Linked DNA regions of Pelodiscus sinensis. The protein of the gene in region 1 interacts with the protein of each later gene in a pairwise test. Links are inferred from orthologs where the notes say so. Each region holds a gene or a part of one and is shown on either strand. Other genes may lie near its edges.

Evidence for each region. The genes of interacting proteins can lie anywhere in the genome.
Region 2: the proteins of synaptonemal complex central element protein 1 (region 1) and BFSP2 interact in binary tests that used the Homo sapiens proteins (3 or more experiments, as listed by UniProt). The two-hybrid records come from large-scale screens. The link is inferred for Pelodiscus sinensis from reciprocal best matches to the Homo sapiens genes SYCE1 and BFSP2.

What each region holds. Positions count from the first base shown.
Region 1 is NW_027465846.1:150,523-160,405, reverse strand, and holds the start of synaptonemal complex central element protein 1, read right to left. Parts: upstream 4,220-9,883; 5' UTR 4,119-4,219; coding exon 4,100-4,118; intron 2,570-4,099; coding exon 2,507-2,569; intron 1,984-2,506; coding exon 1,924-1,983; intron 1,432-1,923; coding exon 1,357-1,431; intron 840-1,356; coding exon 792-839; intron 283-791; coding exon 228-282; intron 1-227. Other genes in the region: vacuolar fusion protein MON1 homolog B-like, read right to left, coding at 9,376-9,594. UniProt on the Homo sapiens protein: Major component of the transverse central element of synaptonemal complexes (SCS), formed between homologous chromosomes during meiotic prophase. Requires SYCP1 in order to be incorporated into the central element.
Region 2 is NC_134712.1:179,366,883-179,376,169, forward strand, and holds the start of BFSP2 (phakinin), read right to left. Parts: upstream 4,643-9,287; 5' UTR 1,993-4,642; coding exon 1,537-1,992; intron 1-1,536. Other genes in the region: TMEM108 (transmembrane protein 108), read right to left, coding at 7,712-7,834.

The DNA.
Region 1 (9,883 bases):
AGAAGCAACAACGTCAGGCAACAACACGACCAGAACCCAGGGGTCCTGGCTCCCAGCCCTCGCCCCCCCCCCCCCCCGCAAGTCACCTGGACCTCCCTCCTCTCCCAGAGCCCTGGGGGAGAACGCAGGACTCCTCCCCTCTCTGTCTCTCAGACCCCCCTTGTGACTACCCCGCTATATCCCCCCACCCCTTCTGCATCTCCATCCCTCCCTCCTGCCCCTTTCACCTCTGGCCTTCCGCCTCCGTCTCCTGGGAGCGGAGCTGCAGGGTCCGGAGCAGCTCTGGAGGGAACAGAAGTGTTAGTGCAGGGGTCCTGGCTCCCTGCTGGGGCCACCCCACAGCCCAGGGGCTCGCTCCGGCCTGCCCTCGGGCAGCTCCAATGGACCGAAGAGAAGATTGCCAGACAGATGGGGGCAGGGAACCCTGCTATGAGAGGATGGGGAATGGAGGACACACAGAGGGCCTGGGATGGGGGAAATTGGGGGACCCTGGTGTGAGGGCAGGGGGCAAAGGGGACACACAGAGCCCCCGGTGGGGGTAACTGGGGGACACAGCCCCCCCGGCAGGAGAGAGAACGAAGTCTCTTTAACAGAGGGGGCTGGGAGGGGCCACACAGGAGCCCACACGGTATGCAAGCTGGTAACGATCACACCTGTCTCTTCTCAAGCCCGTCTCATGGGTGGGTCTCAAAGCGCTGGACGGACACGGTCAGCACCCTCCCCCGGCGGTCCAGCCCTTCCTGTGTCCCTCAGTCAAGCTGCCTTCCCTCCTGGTAAAAGCCTGCTCTCACCTTGCTTCTGGCTGCAGATTTCCTCCAGGTTCGACTTCTCCACGTTCACTGCAAGAGGGGGGCGGGAAACAACCAGGCTGGGACCCGAATCGAGTGCCCTGCGAGCCTGCAGATATCCGCTTTCTAGCCATGGGCTGCGCCTCTGCGGATGGCAAGGCAGATCTCCACGGCTCTTTTTGTGGGTGCGGATACAGGTCCGCACAGGGCTCTACCCGTGTCCTCTGGGATGTGGGGACATATCCCACCTGCTGACAGGGGGTCCAGCCCCCGAGCATGCAGCCGGGTAGGGGTGTTGTCTGCAGTGCAAAAGGGGGCTGCTGTCAGAGAGCTCAGAAGATCCCATGGCCCAAATCCTTCGAGTGATTAATAGAGCCCTGAGAGGGCACAACATTTGTATCCGTGGGCACAGAAACGATCCCCGGATTTCTGCAACCACATCCACGGAGGCAGTGACCCGCAGATACGAAGCAGGAAGCCGCGGCCCGGCAGGAGACAGGCTCCTTGGAGAATCCGACCCAATGACCTGAGGAGCAACGTGGAACCGTGCCGGGCGGGGGTGACTTACGCTCCTCCAGCTCTTCCTGCAATTCCTTGCTGCGCGCCTGGCTGTCCTGCAGCTCCTGGCTCAGAGCCTGCTTAGCTATGGCAAGACCAAGCGGGTTGGGGGGAAGGTGAGGAGAGAGAGAGAGAGACTTCTTTGGGGCTGGAGAGGTGGGGTGTGTAATGAGGAGGGGTGGATAGACGGAGGGGTGTACGTGGGGAGGGGTAGACAGAGGGGTTCCACGAGGAGTAACGGTAGTTCGGAATAGGAAGCCTAATCCGAACTACCTAGTCCGTGCCGCGTGTAGCCGTGGGCACAGAGTCCGAACTAGCGGACATTTAAAAATGGCGGCGCCCGGCAATATGCAAATGAAGCCCGGGAAATTCAAATCCCAGGCTTCATTTGCAACTTCGGTTGCCTACATTAACCACCCTAGTTCGAACTAGGGCGGTAGTGTAGACATACCCCTATTTAGCAATTCAAATGTTGGCGGGGACATGGGGGGCAGTGCTACGGTCCCGGCAATGAGGGTGCGGGGGAACAGGCTGTAACGGGAGCACTCTCCCTTCCCTTCCCCTCCCCTCCCCTCACCTCGCTGCAGTTTCCTGAGCCTTCCTACCAGGTCGTCCATTCGGGGCTCCAGTGTCCCTGCTGCGGAGGGAAGGGGAAGGGCTTGCCTGGTTGTGCTCCTGACAAGGGTCCTTCACCCCCAGCTCTTTGGAGCGTGCCCGGGGGGGAAGCGGTTATTCCTGGCTCCGCTTACGGAGGGGCAGGGGACTGAGACACAGAGAAGTCACACCGAAAGTCATGGGCAGAGCCAGGAAAAGAACAAGAGCCCCCCCCTTACAGACTCCAGGCTAGATGCCCCCCTCCTCCCAGAGCTGGGGAGAAAACCCAAGTGTCCTGGCTTGCAGGCCTCCCCCCCCGCCCCGCCTCTAGGTCCCACTCCTTTCCTAGACCTGGAGGTAGAACCCAAGAATCCCAGCTTCCCCCCCCCCCCCCCCACCCCAACCACTGGACCCTACTCCCCTTGCAGGGCCAGGTACAGAGCCCAGGACTCCTAGCGCCTAGCTGCCCCCCCCCCCCCCGACCAACGTGTCCCAATCTCCTTCCAGAGCTGGGGAGAGGACCCTGATTCCCGGTTGCTTAAACACCACACCCAGCTCGTGGGTACCATCCTGCAGTTGTTTCACCAGCACTAGCAGCTCCTCTGCCTTGGGCGTGAAGCTGCTGGGAACTGGGAAGAGGAAACAAAAAAATCAATTGCTTTGAGAATTCCCCCCGAGCCTGTAACTGGGGATTTACCCGCCCCCACAACGGGCTAGAGAAGGCATTGCAGGCTGGACTCGGCTTTATCCAGCCCAGGGCACGAGGGAGACGGGCACTGTGGGATTGCCTTGGCGCTAACCCCTGCTTGGTGGGAGGAAGGCATTGGGGGCTTGCTGGTCCCTGGTGGGGGCAACAAGGGTACCGTGGCCCAACGTGTGAGGGAGCAGGGCGCTGTGAGACGCCCCCTTGGCGTGAGGGAGCAGGGTGCTGTGGGACGCCCCCCGATGTGAGGGGGCAGGGCACTGTGGGGCACCGCCCTTGGCGTGAGGGGGCAGGGCGCTGTGGGGCGCCCCCCTTGGCGTGAGGGGGCAGGGCGCTGTGGGGCGCCCTCCGGTGTGAGGGAGCAGGTCGCTGTGAGACGCCCGCCCTTGGTGTGAGGGAGCAGGGCGCTGTGGGGCGCCCCCCTTGGCGTGAGGGGGCAGGGCGCTGTGGGGCGCCCCCCTTGGCGTGAGGGGGCAGGGCGCAGTGGGACACCCCCCACCCCGGTGTGAGGGGGCAGGGCGCAGTGGGACACCCCCCACCCCGGTGTGAGGGGGCAGGGCGCTGTGGGGCGCCCCCCTTGGCATGAGGGGGCAGGGCGCAGTGGGGCACCCCCCGGTGTGAGGGGGCAGGGCGCAGTGGGACGCCCCCCCGGTGTGAGGGGGCAGGGCACAGTGGGGCGCCCCCCCCTTGGCGTGAGGGGGCAGGGCGCTGTGGAACGCTCCCCCTTGGTGTGAGGGGGCAGGGCGCTGTGGGGCGCCCCCCTTGGCGTGAGGGGGCAGGGCGCTGTGGGGCACCCCCCGGTGTGAGGAAGCAGGGCGCTGTGGGGCGCCCCCCGGTGTGAGGGGGCAGGGCGCTGTGGGACACCCCCCTTGGCGTGAGGGAGCAGGGCGCTGTGGGACGCCCCCCCGGTGTGAGGGGGCAGGGCGCAGTGGGGCGCCCCCCTTGGCGTGAGGGAGCAGGGCGCTGTGGGACGCCCCCCTTGGCGTGAGGGGGCAGGGCGCTGTGGAACGCTCCCCCTTGGTGTGAGGGGGCAGGGCGCTGTGGGGCACCCCCCTTGGCGTGAGGGGGCAGGGCGCTGTGGGGCACCCCCCGGTGTGAGGAAGCAGGGCGCTGTGGGGCACCCCCCAGTGTGAGGGGGCAGGGCGCTGTGGGGCGCCCCCCTTGGCGTGAGGGGGCAGGGTGCTGTGGGGCACCCCTTGGCGTGAGGGGGCAGGGCGCTGTGGGACACCCCCCTTGGCGTGAGGGGGCAGGGCGCTGTGAGACGCCCCCCTTGGTGTGAGGGGGCAGGGCGCTGTGAGACGCCCCCCTTGGTGTGAGGGGGCAGGGCGCTGTGGGGCGCCCCCCTTGGCGTGAGGGGGCAGGGCGCTGTGGGACGCCCCCCTTGGTGCTATGTAACTGCCATGGGCGCCCTGCGCTGTGGGGCTGGAGCTGTGCCCCCTCCGCCCATCCCCCTCACTCTGTCCACTCCTCTCCATGGCCCTGTGTCCAGAGAGCTGGGGGGGCCTTAACACCTGCGCCTAGTCGCACCGCGGGTGGAAGGGGAAGCCTTGAAACTGCCCCTCCTACGCTTTTTTCCCGCCTTTTTCCAACGGCTGCTGCGGCCCCGCCCCCTCCGGGGCTCGTGCCGTGTTTTCCAATGGCTAGGGCCCCGCCCCCTTCCAAAGAGGAGGGGCTAACTGCTCGCTGGGGGAGGGGCTGGGAGACAGGGTTCCTGGGCTCTCCCCCTGGCTGGGGGGGGGGGGGGGCTGGGAGACAGGGTTCCTGGGTTCTCCCCCTGGCTGGGGGGGCTGGGAGACAGGGTTCCTGGGTTCTCCCCCTGGGTGGGGGGGGGGGCTGGGAGACAGGGTTCCTGGGCTCTCCTCCTGGCTGGGGGGGGGGGGGGCTGGGAGACAGGGTTCCTGGGTTCTCCCCCTGGCTGGGGGGGCTGGGAGACAGGGTTCCTGGGTTCTCCCCCTGGGTGGGGGGGGGGCTGGGAGACAGGGTTCCTGGGCTCTCCTCCTGGCTGGGGGGGGGGGGGGCTGGGAGACAGGGTTCCTGGGCTCTCCCCCTGGCTGGGGGGGGGGGCTGGGAGACAGGGTTCCTGGGCTCTCCTCCTGGCTGGGGGGGGGGGGGGGGCTGGGAGACAGGGTTCCTGGGCTCTCCCCCTGGCTGGGGGGGGGGGCTGGGAGACAGGGTTCCTGGGTTCTCCCCCTGGCTGGGGGGGCTGGGAGACAGGGTTCCTGGGTTCTCCCCCTGGCTGTGGGGCGGGGGGGCTGGGAGACAGGGTTCCTGGGCTCTCCCCCTGGCTGGGGGGCGGGGGGGCTGGGAGACAGGGTTCCTGGGTTCTCCCCCTGGCTGTGGGGCGGGGGGGGGCTGGGAGACAGGGTTCCTGGGCTCTCCCTCTGGCTGTGGGGCGGGGGGGGCTGGGAGACAGGGTTCCTGGGCTCTCCCCCTGGCTATGGGGCGGGGGGGCTGGGAGACAGGGTTCCTGGGCTCTCCCTCTGGCTGTGGGGCGGGGGGGGGCTGGGAGACAGGGTTCCTGGGCTCTCCCTCTGGCTGTGGGGCGGGGGGGCTGGGAGACAGGGTTCCTGGGTTCTCCCCCTGGCTGTGGGGCGGGGGGGGGGGGCTGGGAGACAGGGTTCCTGGGCTCTCCCCCTGGCTGGGGGGGGGGCTGGGAGACAGGGCTCCTGGGCTCTCCCCCTGGCTGGGGGGGGGGGGGGCTGGGAGACAGGGTTCCTGGGCTCTCCCCCTGGCTGGGGGGGGGGGGGCCTGGGAGACAGGGTTCCTGGGTTCTCCCCCTGGCTGGGGGGGCTGGGAGACAGGGTTCCTGGGTTCTCCCCCTGGCTGGGGGGCGGGGGGGCTGGGAGACAGGGTTCCTGGGCTCTCCCCCTGGCTGGGGGGCGGGGGGGCTGGGAGACAGGGTTCCTGGGTTCTCCCCCTGGCTGTGGGGCGGGGGGGGGGGCTGGGAGACAGGGTTCCTGGGCTCTCCCTCTGGCTGTGGGGCGGGGGGGCTGGGAGACAGGGTTCCTGGGCTCTCCCCCTGGCTATGGGGCGGGGGGGCTGGGAGACAGGGTTCCTGGGTTCTCCCCCTGGCTGTGGGGCGTGGGGGGCTGGGAGACAGGGTTCCTGGGCTCTCCCTCTGGCTGTGGGGCGGGGGGGCTGGGAGACAGGGTTCCTGGGTTCTCCCCCTGGCTGTGGGGCGGGGGGGGCTGGGAGACAGGGTTCCTGGGCTCTCCCTCTGGCTGTGGGGCGGGGGGGCTGGGAGACAGGGTTCCTGGGTTCTCCCCCTGGCTGTGGGGCGGGGGGGGGGCTGGGAGACAGGGTTCCTGGGCTCTCCCCCTGGCTGGGGGGGGGGGCTGGGAGACAGGGTTCCTGGGTTCTCCCCCTGGCTGGGGGGGGGGGGCTGGGAGACAGGGTTCCTGGGTTCTCCCCCTGGCTGGGGGGGGGGGGGCTGGGAGACAGGGCTCCTGGGTTCTCCCCCTGGCTGGGGGAGGGGCTGGGAGACAGGGTTCCTGGGTTCTCCCCCTGGCTGGGGGGGGGGGGGCTGGGAGACAGGGCTCCTGGGTTCTCCCCCTGGCTGGGGGAGGGGCTGGGAGACAGGGCTCCTGGGTTCTCCCCCTGGCTGGGGGGGGGGACTGGGAGACAGGGCTCCTGGGTTCTCCCCGTAGCTGGGGGGGCTGGGAGACAGGGTTCCTGGGTTCTCCCCCTGGGTTCTCCCCCTGGCTGGGTGGGGGGGCTGGGAGCCCAGCCTCCTGAGTTCTTTTCCTGGCTGAGGGCTATGGAGGGGAGCAGGGAGCCAAGATTCCTGGGTTCTCCCCCTGGCTGTGGGGGGGTCTCTACTCAGTTTGGGGGTCCCAGTGGGTTAGAGCAGGGAACCATAGGCAGCTACCCTGGAGCATGGGACCTGCAGCTGCTCCTCCCTTGTCCCAACACCAGGCTAAGCTCATCCCAGCCTTCTGTGACAGGGCTAGATTACATCCACGCTCCCCCACATAGGACATCTCCAGTGGTCCTTGAGCTCCACCATGAAGGCAGGGTCCTGGGAGGATGTGCTAGTGGTTAGCAGCCTGGGAGACTCCCCCATAGAGAAGGGCCATAGCTGGGAGGGAGGGTAATTGGCTTGGGAAGATGGTACGGGATAGGGAGCTCTAACGACTGGCAGGGAACGAGCGATGCGCGAGGGCTGGCAGTGACTGGACAGAGGCCTAGCCTGCTCCTGTACCTCAGTGGCCCGACAAGTGCAGGAGCCTGAGCTAGGCAGCTGGCCATTGCTTGTTTCTGCCTCCCCAACCCGTGCAGATAGATTCCTGGTGCATGGAGCCCGGGGGTGGATAGCGGACCAGACCTCTCCAGGCAGCAGCTGCCTTCCTTGCACAGGCCCATCTCCTTCTGCAGAGCCCATGCACACAGCTTACAGCATGGTGTGAGCGCGAGCTGCATCTTAAAATAACAGCCGGGAGGCTCGCCTGGGTATTTTGGACTCTGGTTGGGTCCATGCTTCTATTTCCAATGTTGTAGTAGCAAGGTTAACTTGCTAGCGCAGCTGGTAGCTTCGTTTCTGCACAACAGCTCTCTCTGCACCACATCAGCACACACAAGAGTCAAGTAACAGCCTGCGGTCCAGGGTGCAATACCCCAGAAAAAACAGCTGTGAATAAGAATCGGTCATAACCTTTCTACCATGCCTTGCTGCGCTCCTTCCCTCTTCAAGAGCGGCTGAACTTGCTGCCTGTTATGTGCTCCTTATGGGAGACAGAGCGACCGTGTGCTAAGGACTGACTGGCAAGATGAGCCCCAGCTGCCATAAAGTTGCATACCTCCATCGCCAGCAGTTCACACGTGAAACGACAGAGGTTTGGCCCAAAAGACACAGTTCGCTGCTGGAACTAGTGCCCGATTTATCTCCAATTTGTGTACCTCTCCCTTCTGAATGAGCCCAGCAGCTGCGGAAGGAACACAGCCCACAGCAGGTATAATACTTAGATATGAATAACCACCTCTGCACCTGTAACTAAGTGGAACACACAGCGAGAAGAAAAGAGGCTCCTGGAGGAGAAAAATGAGTGCAGCGAATTTGGAATCACATCTTGCCTTGCTCGCCCCTGTCAAAAAGAACGGGGCTGACGGGATGGAAAACGCCAACCTCAGGCAGAGGGTTAGTGTGACAACGTTTGGGGCAAGCTCATCTGTGAGCCGACATATATCCACAGGTGAGCGTATTAAAATCGACACAAGACCTCTGGTGTGCATCCACAGCTCCCTATAGCAGAAATCCCAACACAGCTAGTATTTAGAAAGCACCAATTCCTCCTCCTCATGGCTACAGCCTCCGTGCTGGCTAGCAAGCAAGGCAGATACACCCTCATCAAAACAACTTTTTAATAAGACTTTGATTCTCAGTTCCACAAGCCAGCCAGGAAGAGACCTCATTTGACAGCCAGCCACGCCGGTTCCAGGCACAGCGCCTCATGCATGTGAAAACACTTTCCACTTCCCCAACCCCGCCAGGTCTCCTTGGAGCAGCTAGATGCAAGTGAAAGGAGATGCAGGCAGGGCTCGCTCTCCGGAGACATGGGGTGATCTTCCTGGGTGAAGCAGATCCCACAGATTCTGGCTCGAGCCCACGGCTGAGGCCCCAAACAGCCCTTCTAGCAGCCCGGATGGACAACGAGACTGAAAAGAGCCAAGGGGCAGCCCATTTACCGTAAGGCAGGGCGCAGCTGTCACCAGCAAAGGAGAGAGGCAGTCTGTTGCTTTCAAAAAGCATTTTGAATCTTCCTGTGAAAGGATCTGCCTTTCCAAAAGGGAACATTAAATTAATACAGACCCCTGCATTGGTGCAGACATTAATACAGAGGAGAGTGCATTGGTGCAGACATTAACTAACACAACCAGCCCATGGAGAGAGAACACAACATGGGGGGCATCTCCCATTTCCGATTTACAGCATCGAGAGCAGCATGTGCGGGGGACGGAGAGGAGGAGATGAAGGAGTAATCTCCTTTCCACCGCACATATTGCCGTTTCCAGACACAGCGCCCAGTTTAAATCGGTTGGCAAACATGAGCCGCTGTTTCCAGACACAGCACCCAGCTAAATCTATTATCAAACATGAGCCACAGACCTCCAGGTCCTGCAAGAAATCTAAGTTCATTCCAGGCTAGGACACTTAAAGAGCAGAGAGTGTTAGAAAAATGGGTTCAAAGCAGGTCGGGCTCTGATGCCAAGAGATGCAATTAGCCACAATTCTTCCAAAGGAAGGAGAAACACAATTGCAACCCATTGCTTAGGGACCGGCAGCTGATCCACACTGGGAAGCAGAGAACAGAGGCTCCGGGGAAAGGAGCCAAGTACTAGAAGAAAAACTTCCGTCGAGGAGATGCCATACACAAACCCAGCTTCATCATTTGGGTGGAGTCCTTCAGCACAGGCCCTTCCCGTAACAGGCCACAGGAGCCAGTGTAAGCTTGTCATGCCCCTTGGCGCCCCACATCAGCCTAGCGCACAAGGCTCAAAAGTGAAGCAACAAGGCCCGGCGTCATCCTCCCCCAACCAGGCCTCCTTAACATAGGCTCGGAGACACAAGTAGGCCAATAAATAAGACAGACAAGCAACCACACATCGCAGGAGCCCTGGAAGGAACCAGCCACGCCTGAGCTAGATCACAGAGAGTGGTTTCTCTGGAGGAAGAGATTTCCCCCCACGTTATCCAGTCACCGGTGAAACAGGGGCCCGGGTGAAGCAAAACCAGGCTTAGAGGCCAGCAAAAAATCCATTCTCAGCGCCGTCGGGCCGGCCGCCCTTGGTGCCCTTCCCTGGGTTGGGTGTGGTGGAGTACTTGGGGGGGTAGCGAATGAAAAGCCGGTCCTCCTCCTTCTTGATCCAGCGCAACAGCTTGGTGAGAACATTGATAGCACCAGCTTTGGTCACCAGGGGGCTGAAGCAAGTGTACAGTTCAAACTTACTGGTCACCTGGGAAGGAGAAGGTGGAAGAGAATAGGTCAAGCAATCTTTTCCCCAAAACCCAGCACCATCTCATCTCTTGCGCTCCTCCTCTAACCCTCTCCTCCTGGCTTCTTCTCATCACTAGCCCTCAGGGAGGGAGCACAAGCTTGAAACCCATCTGAAGTAGGACAGCCAGGAGAGGCACAAGCTATCTGTTCCAATGGGATGTGTTGACTCTGAAACCTACCAATGACGATTAAGAACATAAGGACGGCTATACTGGGTCAGACCAAAGGTCCATCTAGCGCCTGATCCT
Region 2 (9,287 bases), on another chromosome or scaffold:
CACACATTAACTATTGGCAGGCAAAAGCCAGATGTTTTGAAAAGTTAGCCCAGAAAGTCTTTTTAGGAACATAGAGGCAGTAATATAGCATGTCTATCTCTGTACAGTGCTGAAGGGGAAAAATGACTCCTCAGACATTTAATCTGCCAAGCTGTTACATTAGGGAAGAATTAGCTTACCCTGTTTATTGGGGTCTGGCACTCATTGTCAGAGAGAACTAATATTTTCCTACTCAGCTCCCATTCGTTCACTGAATCTCAATATAATAGTAACACTTATAGTTTTGAGATCTGAAAATCATAAGCTTTTACAAAAGAGGAAAGCATAATTATTACTAGATAGGGAAATTGAGGTACAGAAAGATAGTGATTTGCCAAAGAATACATAATTGATGAATGGCAGAGCTCAAAATTGATCCCTGGTCTCCTGGCTCCCAGTTGGGTATTGTATCCATTGGACCACACTAAAACAGTGTCTTTCCTTCTCCCACCTTGTTTTGCTAATTATAATAAAGGGACTAATTCTCCAGCAGGAGAAAGTCAAGTCTGATGGCTAAAGAATATGATCAGGACTCGGAACACTTGGATTCTCTTTTTGATTCTGCTATTGATCCATTGTCTTTCCAAGGCAAGTTACTATGCCTATGTATGCCTCCCTTTGCCCAGTTAGAAAACATCCTACTTTAAACATGTTGTGAGACTTAGATGGTAAATATTTTTAAAGTGTTTGAGATCTCAGATGAAAGTGTATGCTTTTTGCATACTGCACAAGTGAAACATAAAGATTCCAATACCTGCTGTTTTTGCATTGACCTTTCATTAGCCCCACAAAAAGTATCACTTGCAGGTTTGTGTTGGCTTTCCAGATTTTTTATTATTATTATTATTATTATCCATGATACAAACACAGTTTCCATTTTACAGTCAGCTGCTAAATATTTTTTCTTGTGCAGAATATGCCGCCTTAAAACACTGTATAAAACACTGATTATGTGGAGGATAGAGAGTGGTGAAGGGCTGAGGAGTTGGGGAGGAGTGTCCAAGTGGGAACCATCCAGTTGTGGTTATATAATTATTACTTTTAACTAAATAGAGCTTTTGAAAATGTGATTACACAAATGAGAGAATAAAACTGAACTCTGAATTGCTAATTAAACAAGACTGTGATGATATCAAGTTGGTGGATAAACTCATTCATTCTTAGTAGCTTTCATTTAATAATTCTGTTCCTCACTGTAATAACCACAACTAAGAGAAAACAACTGATTTGATTTTAATCAGGCCAGACTATAACACCACGGGGTGCGCTTCAATCACTCCCGTGTACATAATGCCTGGAGCTCCTCTCCTGTTTAATAAGTCTTTTCCACAATACACTGTGAAATGATAATACTAATTATGATGGAGATTTGAAATCCTTCATCCAAGACATAGTGCATTGGAATCAGGCTGCATTTATCATCAGCATCGAAACCCACTGTTAGGGGTTTGCTAATGATTCACTCATCTTTGTCATTGTTAAAAATCTTGTACTCACTTGATGATAGATAGTTTCCCAGTTTTCTCTCAGTGCTTCCCAGTTGTTGACATTGGATGACTTCTTTTCCAGGTAGACTCTGATATGCTCTTCAAGCTCTTGATTGACCTGTTCTAGAGCTCTCACTTTCTCTATGTATTCCACCAGGCTTCCGTTCAGGCTTTCATAGGATAGGCCCCTTCCCTTCTCCAGCCCCTGAGATAATGGCACAGCTGAACAGGAACTGCGCAGGCCTTGTAAGAAGACACTGCTGATGCCTAGGGCTCTACGGGACACGCGGGTCCCTAGGCTGCTCATGCCTCCAGTGGGGACAATACCCACATAGACACCTCGAGATCTTGGTAGGCTTCCTCCACCTCCAATGCTTAACCTTTGGCTGGTAGCCCCAGTGCTTTCAGTCATGGAGGAAGATGGCTGTTGCCCCAAGAATGAAGATCTGCGTCTTGGCATGGGCATGCTGTTGCTCGAATCTATTGCACTAAAAAAAGTTGCCTCTGCCTTGAAGCCCCTTGTGCCATACCCACACTGGTCAGATGTGCAGACCCAAGCAGATTTTTGGTTTTGTGTTTTTGCTTTGTCCCCTTCTGGAACGTTAACATTGTGTTTCACTGATCGTCACAGGCATGTTTGTCACATTGGGGCTTTTCATTGGGTCAGCAAATCCATTTAAAGAGAAATCTCTCTGCTGCTACTGCTGCAAGTATGAAAAGGACAAAGCTGTTTACAGTGAATGCAGAACAATAACTCCTTACAGTGCACATGGTAAAATAGTACTGCTGTTTTTTAGACAGCAAGCCAGACAGATTTTTAGCATTTTATATATACATTGTGCATGCGAGCACACATACACACAGCTAGATTCTTTTACCCTTACTCATGTTGAGAAGTACTTTACTTCATGCATTGTCCTATTTAGATTATCATGGAAGTGTAGAACTGTAAGGAACCACAAGAGGTCATGTAGTCTACTCCCCTGTACTCAAAGCAGGCTGACATAATAATTAGATAATTGCTGATAGTCGTTTGTCTAACTTGTTTTGTTTTGTTGGGGTTTTTTTGTGGAAGGCAGATTTCTAGCCAGTATTTTGTTATATTGAGGCAATCTCATAGCCTAAATCCCTATCTTTTTTTGCTATCATCAGCCTTTAGGATAGGAGCTAATTGGTGGAGTACCAGTGGAATCTGTTCAGCATTTTGTAGTGATTTAGTTTGCTGTCTCTAGTAGTAATTTAGTCTTACTCCTCTGCTTTATATGCCTTGTTGATTTCTAACACCCATAGCCTTTTCAGAATAGTATAGTATGTTGATATTTTTGTTATCAGGAAGGTTAATGCACGGCAGATTTGGTATCTGTAGTATGCAGGGAAATTTCTGTTGCCAGAATGGTTAGATTCACTAGCTTTTTGTCATGCTGTGGTGGTGGTGTATACTTTCCCAGAAATTGGAGAACATTGGTAGATGCATTTGTTCTAGATATTAAGATTGAATTAGCATCTTTGTATATGCAAAATGGAAATATCATGTCCTTTCTAAGCCATGTCATCCAAAACATCTGTATATTACAATTTTTTTAATGCTTGTTTCCCTAGGTATGGGAGCTAGGGTTCCTGGTATGTGGGACAGCATGTATTTTTTCTACATCATGTCTTCTGTCTTCTGAAAAAATGAGGAAGAACAGCTCTTGTGCAAGAGAGGGTTTTTGCGCAAAAGTCTCTTGTGCAAAAACGGCCCCCTAATTATTTATGCAAATGAAGTGTGACGATATTCTACTCCGTGCTTCATTTGCATGAGCTTTTGAGGAAGAAGGGTGCAGTATAGACGTAGCCCCAGAGACTTGTGCTGGTGCTGAGGGATTCTGCTCCTGGCAGTTGCAGCCAGGGTCGCCTGGACCCTAGATTTCTGCCCCCACTCCTGCATGCTCTGAGTGCTGAGCTCAGGGCATCCTCCCCTGGCAGCTTCTGCTGGGGTTGGGTGGCTTCTGCTCCAGCCTAGGCCTCGGGGCTTTCCTCCCTCCCTTGCCCTCAGGGCACCGAGCTCAGGGCTTCCTCCCAAGTGATTCTTGCTGGGGCTGTGAACTTCCACTCCCAATGGCTGTGGCTAAGGCTGCCCAGGCTCTGGGCTTCTCCCCCCTCTTCCACAGCTTCTCTGTGGCCCTGGCACTCTGGGCTTCCTTCCTTGGAGGCTCCTGCTGGGACTTGGGGTACTGAGTTGAAGCTATTGCCCCAGGACTTCTTCTAGGTCTGGGGCACCCATTTTTATTGCAGGCCCCCAAATTAGCTGGGAATGCCTGCCTTACTCTGCCACTGGCCTGGGAGAGCAGCTGGAAATCTCTGGCACCTCTAGGCACCATCTCCACCTCAGCCCCGAAGGCAGCACAGAAGTCAGGGTGGCAAACTTGGGATCCCTTCTCAACTTTGCAGCCTCTCCCTATCCCATTTTGGGTCAAGACCCCCATAGTTACAACCCCATAAAAGTTCACATATCAACATCTGAAATCATGAAAATGGACACTTTTTAAAACCCTCCATCTGTTAAATTGATCAGAATAGACCGAGAATTTGGTAGGGCCCTAGTGATGGCCATGACATGCTAGGGAATGTACTAAATCAGTGACCTGATTAGGGAACCTGTGAAGGAGGCCTTCTAGAAAACTCCACTGGTGAGCTGAAGGGAACACTCCCTTGGAAGTACCTTGAGGAGATGTTGGTGGCATAAATCCCACTTTCCTTTCTACAGGGGTGAATCCCCTTTTGGTGTAGTGACTGTTGCTGGCACAAGGGAGTGAAATTTGAATTGACACCCTTAATACTAGCAGGTGTGACTCAAAGCCTATGCACATATGTATACACATTGTGACAGATAATCTATATTGTACTATTTCCAGTCCGCTCATATAACCAAGTTTGACAATTCAGCCCTTAGAGAAATAAGTACAGCTCTTATTTAACCCAATGGGAATTGTACCTGCGTCTTTGAGGAAGAAATGAGTTTAGCTCTGTTCACTCTTCTTTTATGCTTCAGATTATAAATACACAGTGGCTGTGTCTACACTGCACCCCTTTTCCGGAAAAGGGATGCAGATTAGACACTTCGGAATTGCAAATCCACGGGGGATTTAAATATCCCCCGCGGCATTTGCATTTACATGGCTGCCGCTTTTTTCCAAATTGAAAGTAGGAATAAGAAATCCTCCGGAAAAGGGCTTATTTTCCGGAGAATTGCGTCTAGACTGGCGCTTTTCTCCAGCTTATCCCCAAGCCGGAAAAGAGCGGCAGCCATGTAAATGCAAATGCCATGGGGGATATTTAAATCCCCCGCGGATTTGCAATTCTGAAGTGTCTAATCTGCATCCCTTTTCCGGAAAAGGGGTGCAGTGTAGACACAGCCTGTGTGTGGTGTCCTGCAGCCTTTTCCACAGGCCAAACTGCTGGTGGAGTTTAAGCCCTAATCAGATCTGATGCTCATCAAATACTGCGTTTATCCTTCATTCACCAGAGTTAAGGATAGAGGGATGCACAGCTTTTGTCTCTCCACTAAGCATGTGCACCTGAATCCTCTCAATGTCCATAGCCATCTACAATAACTTGACAATAAATCTACTGATTTAGAGAGCAAGAGAAACGAGACTGCTCTGATTTAAAGAGATGAACCAAATGACCCATGATATCCATTCTGTCCTTAGCAGCTATGGTTTTATAAATCTCTGAAGACTGTGGCACAGATTCAAAATAGTGTCTTAGCATTATTGAAGGGATGGGTCTAAACTGCTTTTGTGGCCCCAAGATCCTGGGCCTGTAATCTGAGCCCTGATGCCCAGGGCTGAAACCAGGACTGGTGGGGCTCTGGCTTTTGCTGCAGCAAGTCTAAGCCAGTCCTGGTGACCTCATTAGAATGGGGTCAGTACCCACTTTGGGGTCCCGTCTCACCTTTTGAGAACCGCTGCTTTAGATATGGCATTAAAGTTTTCATGTTCTCTACTACTTTTAATACATCTTGCTCCTTATTACCCACCACGGTTTTAATTTGGCTATTGCAGCTTGCAGGCAGGCTTAAAAGATGGATGTCCTTTACTGCCATTATACCCTATAGCAGTGGTCTCCAACCTTTTTACACCCAAGATCACTTTTTAAGTCTCAGAACAGGTGAAGATCTACTGCCCCGCCCCTTCCTTGAAGCCCTGCCTACATTACATGAGGAAATCTAATGTAAATGCACTGCGAAGGTGCGCAGTTCAGAGAGGGCTCAAGAGCTACTGGTAGATCGCGATCTATTGGTTCTATAGAATCTACTGCAAATCTTGCATCCTCACCAGGACTTCAATGTGAGTGCTGCCTGTGAACGAGAAGGGGATTAGTCCCTGACAGCACTGTTCTTCTCTTAGAATTGTGCATATTATGTGCTATCCAGATTCCTATGAACACTGTTTGATGGGAGGAGTACTGGGGATTTGGCGATGTTGCAGAAGAACGGAGGTATTCTGAGAGCACTGTGGGAGCACAGTACATAAATATCTCATTTAATAAAAGATGAAACATTCATCTCCTCTGCTTGTGCGGCTAGATGCTCACAGGAGATAGTGCCTTTTCCAACCCCTTGATCTCGCTGTCCATTCCCTACTGGCACAATGACTGAACTGCTGCCAGGCTTGGTAGCCAATTCCCTAAAGCTCCACAACTGCTAGCATCAGCACACTGTCTGGGTCTACAGTGCGAGTGCTAGGAGGGGCTCACTGTGGTGCTGTCTCTTTCATAACACAGAAACAGCTAGAACATATCTCAGCATATGAGATCTCCTGCACTTGCTCTATCAAGTGAATCTAATGTGGAATGTGTACCAAGTAAGGGCGATAAGTCTGTTTTATCTTAGGGTGTGTCTAGACTATATGGCTCCGTTGACGGAACCATGTAGTCTAGACACACCCTTAATGAATATTGTATGTGCATGTTTAAATATGTTCAGAGCTGTTAAAAAAAGGATGGTGATCAATTGTTACCCATGACCATTGAAGATAGGAAAATAAACACTTGACTTAATCTGCAGCAAGGGAGATTTAGGTTTGATATTAGGAAAAGCTTTCTAACTATATAGCTAAACTTTGGAATAGTTTTCAAGGGAAGCTGTGGAATTCCCATCAGTGGAGGTTTTTAAGAACAGGTTGGACATACAATTGTCAAGGATGGCCTAGGTTTACTTGCCCCGGTCTTAGTGCAGAGGACTGGACTAGGTGAACACTAGAGGTCCCTTCCAGCCTTGCATTTCTGTGATTGTTACTGCATTGCTGGCTCTGTGACTACTAGAGTTAATTCCGGCAAAAAATGTCAGTGATTTCAGACTAAGTGTTATGATCAGTACTCCGCAAGACTACACCACAGTTATTACCTTTTATGTTTCACCTAAACTCAAAGCACTCGTGAGGAGGGGAAGGGGGAAGGTCATGGTGAGACATAAAAACAAAAAGCTTTGGTTCTGATCAAAGAAGCATGACCAAGAGGGGGAGATTCTAGGAGACCTAGATAGGCAGTCTAGGGAGAGGCAAGCTGATTCTCAGAGTTGGATAAGTTAAGGGCCTGTTTAAATTAGCAAAGAAAGACTTAAGTTTTGGTATGAAAATGTGTGGTCAGTCTTTTATTGTTTTACCCGTTTTTTGTCTGCTAGTTACATTTCTATGAACCAAAATCATACTTGTTTTGAAGAAGCTATCCCGAGTCTTTGCTTTTTACATTGGTCATGAGTTCCTGGTGAGGGATTCTATAGCCAGACATGACTACAACTGGTGAAACCTAATGAACGGTGGGGTTCCCAGTGTACAGCAGAGGCCTGTCCCTTGGAAAAAGAGTCCTGTGCAGTACCAAATAAGCACAGTCTTCAGAGAGGCTAACCTTCCGTAGTGACGATACTGACTAAGCATTTTGTAAAAGCAGTTAGTAAATGATAGCAGGAAAAGCAGTTGGTTCAGTAGGTGTTTTGCTTAGAAATACTTTTATTTTATAAAGCCACAGTTTTCTGTAAAGTTTTACCACACTTATAAAAAAGAAGTTGACAATTTTTAGGGGAAAAAAGCTGAAAACATTTCTCATAATTCAGGGTTACACAAAGATTATATTTATAATATATATATTTATTTATAATTTGGAGACACTAAAGATGGAACTGCAATACAAGGGCAGGTGTGGGATCATATTTCAGACACTTGCTCATGTCCTACAAATAGCGTTTCTTGACAAAAGGGGTTAACAAGGACCATCCCACTGTCTCTGTAATCACCATTGGCTGGGGAACGTGGCTCAGACAGATGGTCCTAAGGAGAGAGAGAAAAAAGAGCATGAGCTATTTAGATTCTGTTATTAACTCTTGGTGTACATCACAGCACATTGCAGTTTGCCTTTATTATATATAAAGGAACATGGTGATGATATAAGCCCTATAGAGTGAAAGCTGAGAAAATATGTCCAAATTCTTCAAAGTGTCCCTATTTTTAGGTGTCCCAGGTTCTGACTATCCAGCTTTAGAAAACCAGGGCTTGATTTCCGGAGGTTTTGCTCTAACTGCAGTCAAATGGGAGCTGTGGGTTGAAAAATCAGGCCACTACTTACTCAACTTGGCCACCCAAGAATTGAGGAGCCCAAAATTAGAGACTATTTTACAGAATTTGGCCTCGTGTAATTTTGCTTTCTTTAAATTTTGCAAACAATTTTTTTGTGTGAAATGTCATATCCATTATTCCCAACTAGTTAGCTTTCAGAGAGACTCTCCCAAGCCCGCATACAAAGGAATTACATTTTTGACCTCTTTTTTTTTTTAATGTAATAAACAACTAACTTGGTGCTAGACTGTACAGAAAATGTCTGTGATATTAACACTGAAGTGTGTTCCTTTTCCACTTCAAGTTAGTGACAAGACAGCAAAGAAACTTTATGGTTACAGTTCTGGCTTTAGCTAAGTTTTCTGCTAAAATTAGAAATTACAGAGCCCCAATGTACAATGTACTTAGGTTAAGGGTAGGAATCAACAGAACTTACTTTTTTTTTAAACTAGTTTTCCTTATTAAAAAATAGCAAGATATCCACTTTTTCATCAAAGGATTGCTTTATTTCTTATTAGTATCTGTCCATCTTGGTGCTCCTATGTCACCTCAAATGGCCGGTTAGGGATGCTGGACATGTGAGGACATTTTGTGAGACTGCCTATGCTGCACTGATCCTTAGTTGCTTTTTAGGGGCAACTTGCAGGCTGCATATAATACACGCTCTATTATGACGTCCAATTCAGTTTTAAATAACTCCAGTGGTAGGGCTCCTACAACTTCTCGTTTTGGTGACTGTTCTACACCCTAACAGTTTTCACTGTGAGGAAGTTGTCTCTTGGAATGCTTAGAGTAGATTTTGTGGTTTGGTTTCAAATTGAATTAAATAAGTGCCAGCTAACTAAGGCCTTGTCTACACTATGAGATAAGGTTGAATTTATTAAGATTGATTTTTTTTTTTTTTAGCACCTGCTTTTGTCAAGTCAAAGGTGCATGTCCCCACTGTGTGCAAGAATTCAGCGTTGTTCAAAGTAGTGAACCCCCAGTAGGGTGGCCACCGTTGACTTTGAGAGCAATGCCCAAAGTTCCTGTCTCCCCTTTGCATTCTGGGTTATGAGCCTAGTGCATGCTGGGATCAAAACTATGTAGTGGGTGGTTCTGGGTACATATCATCAGTGTCCCATAATGCATTCGTCTCCTCCCTCCCGTACTGCTTGAAAGCAATGGC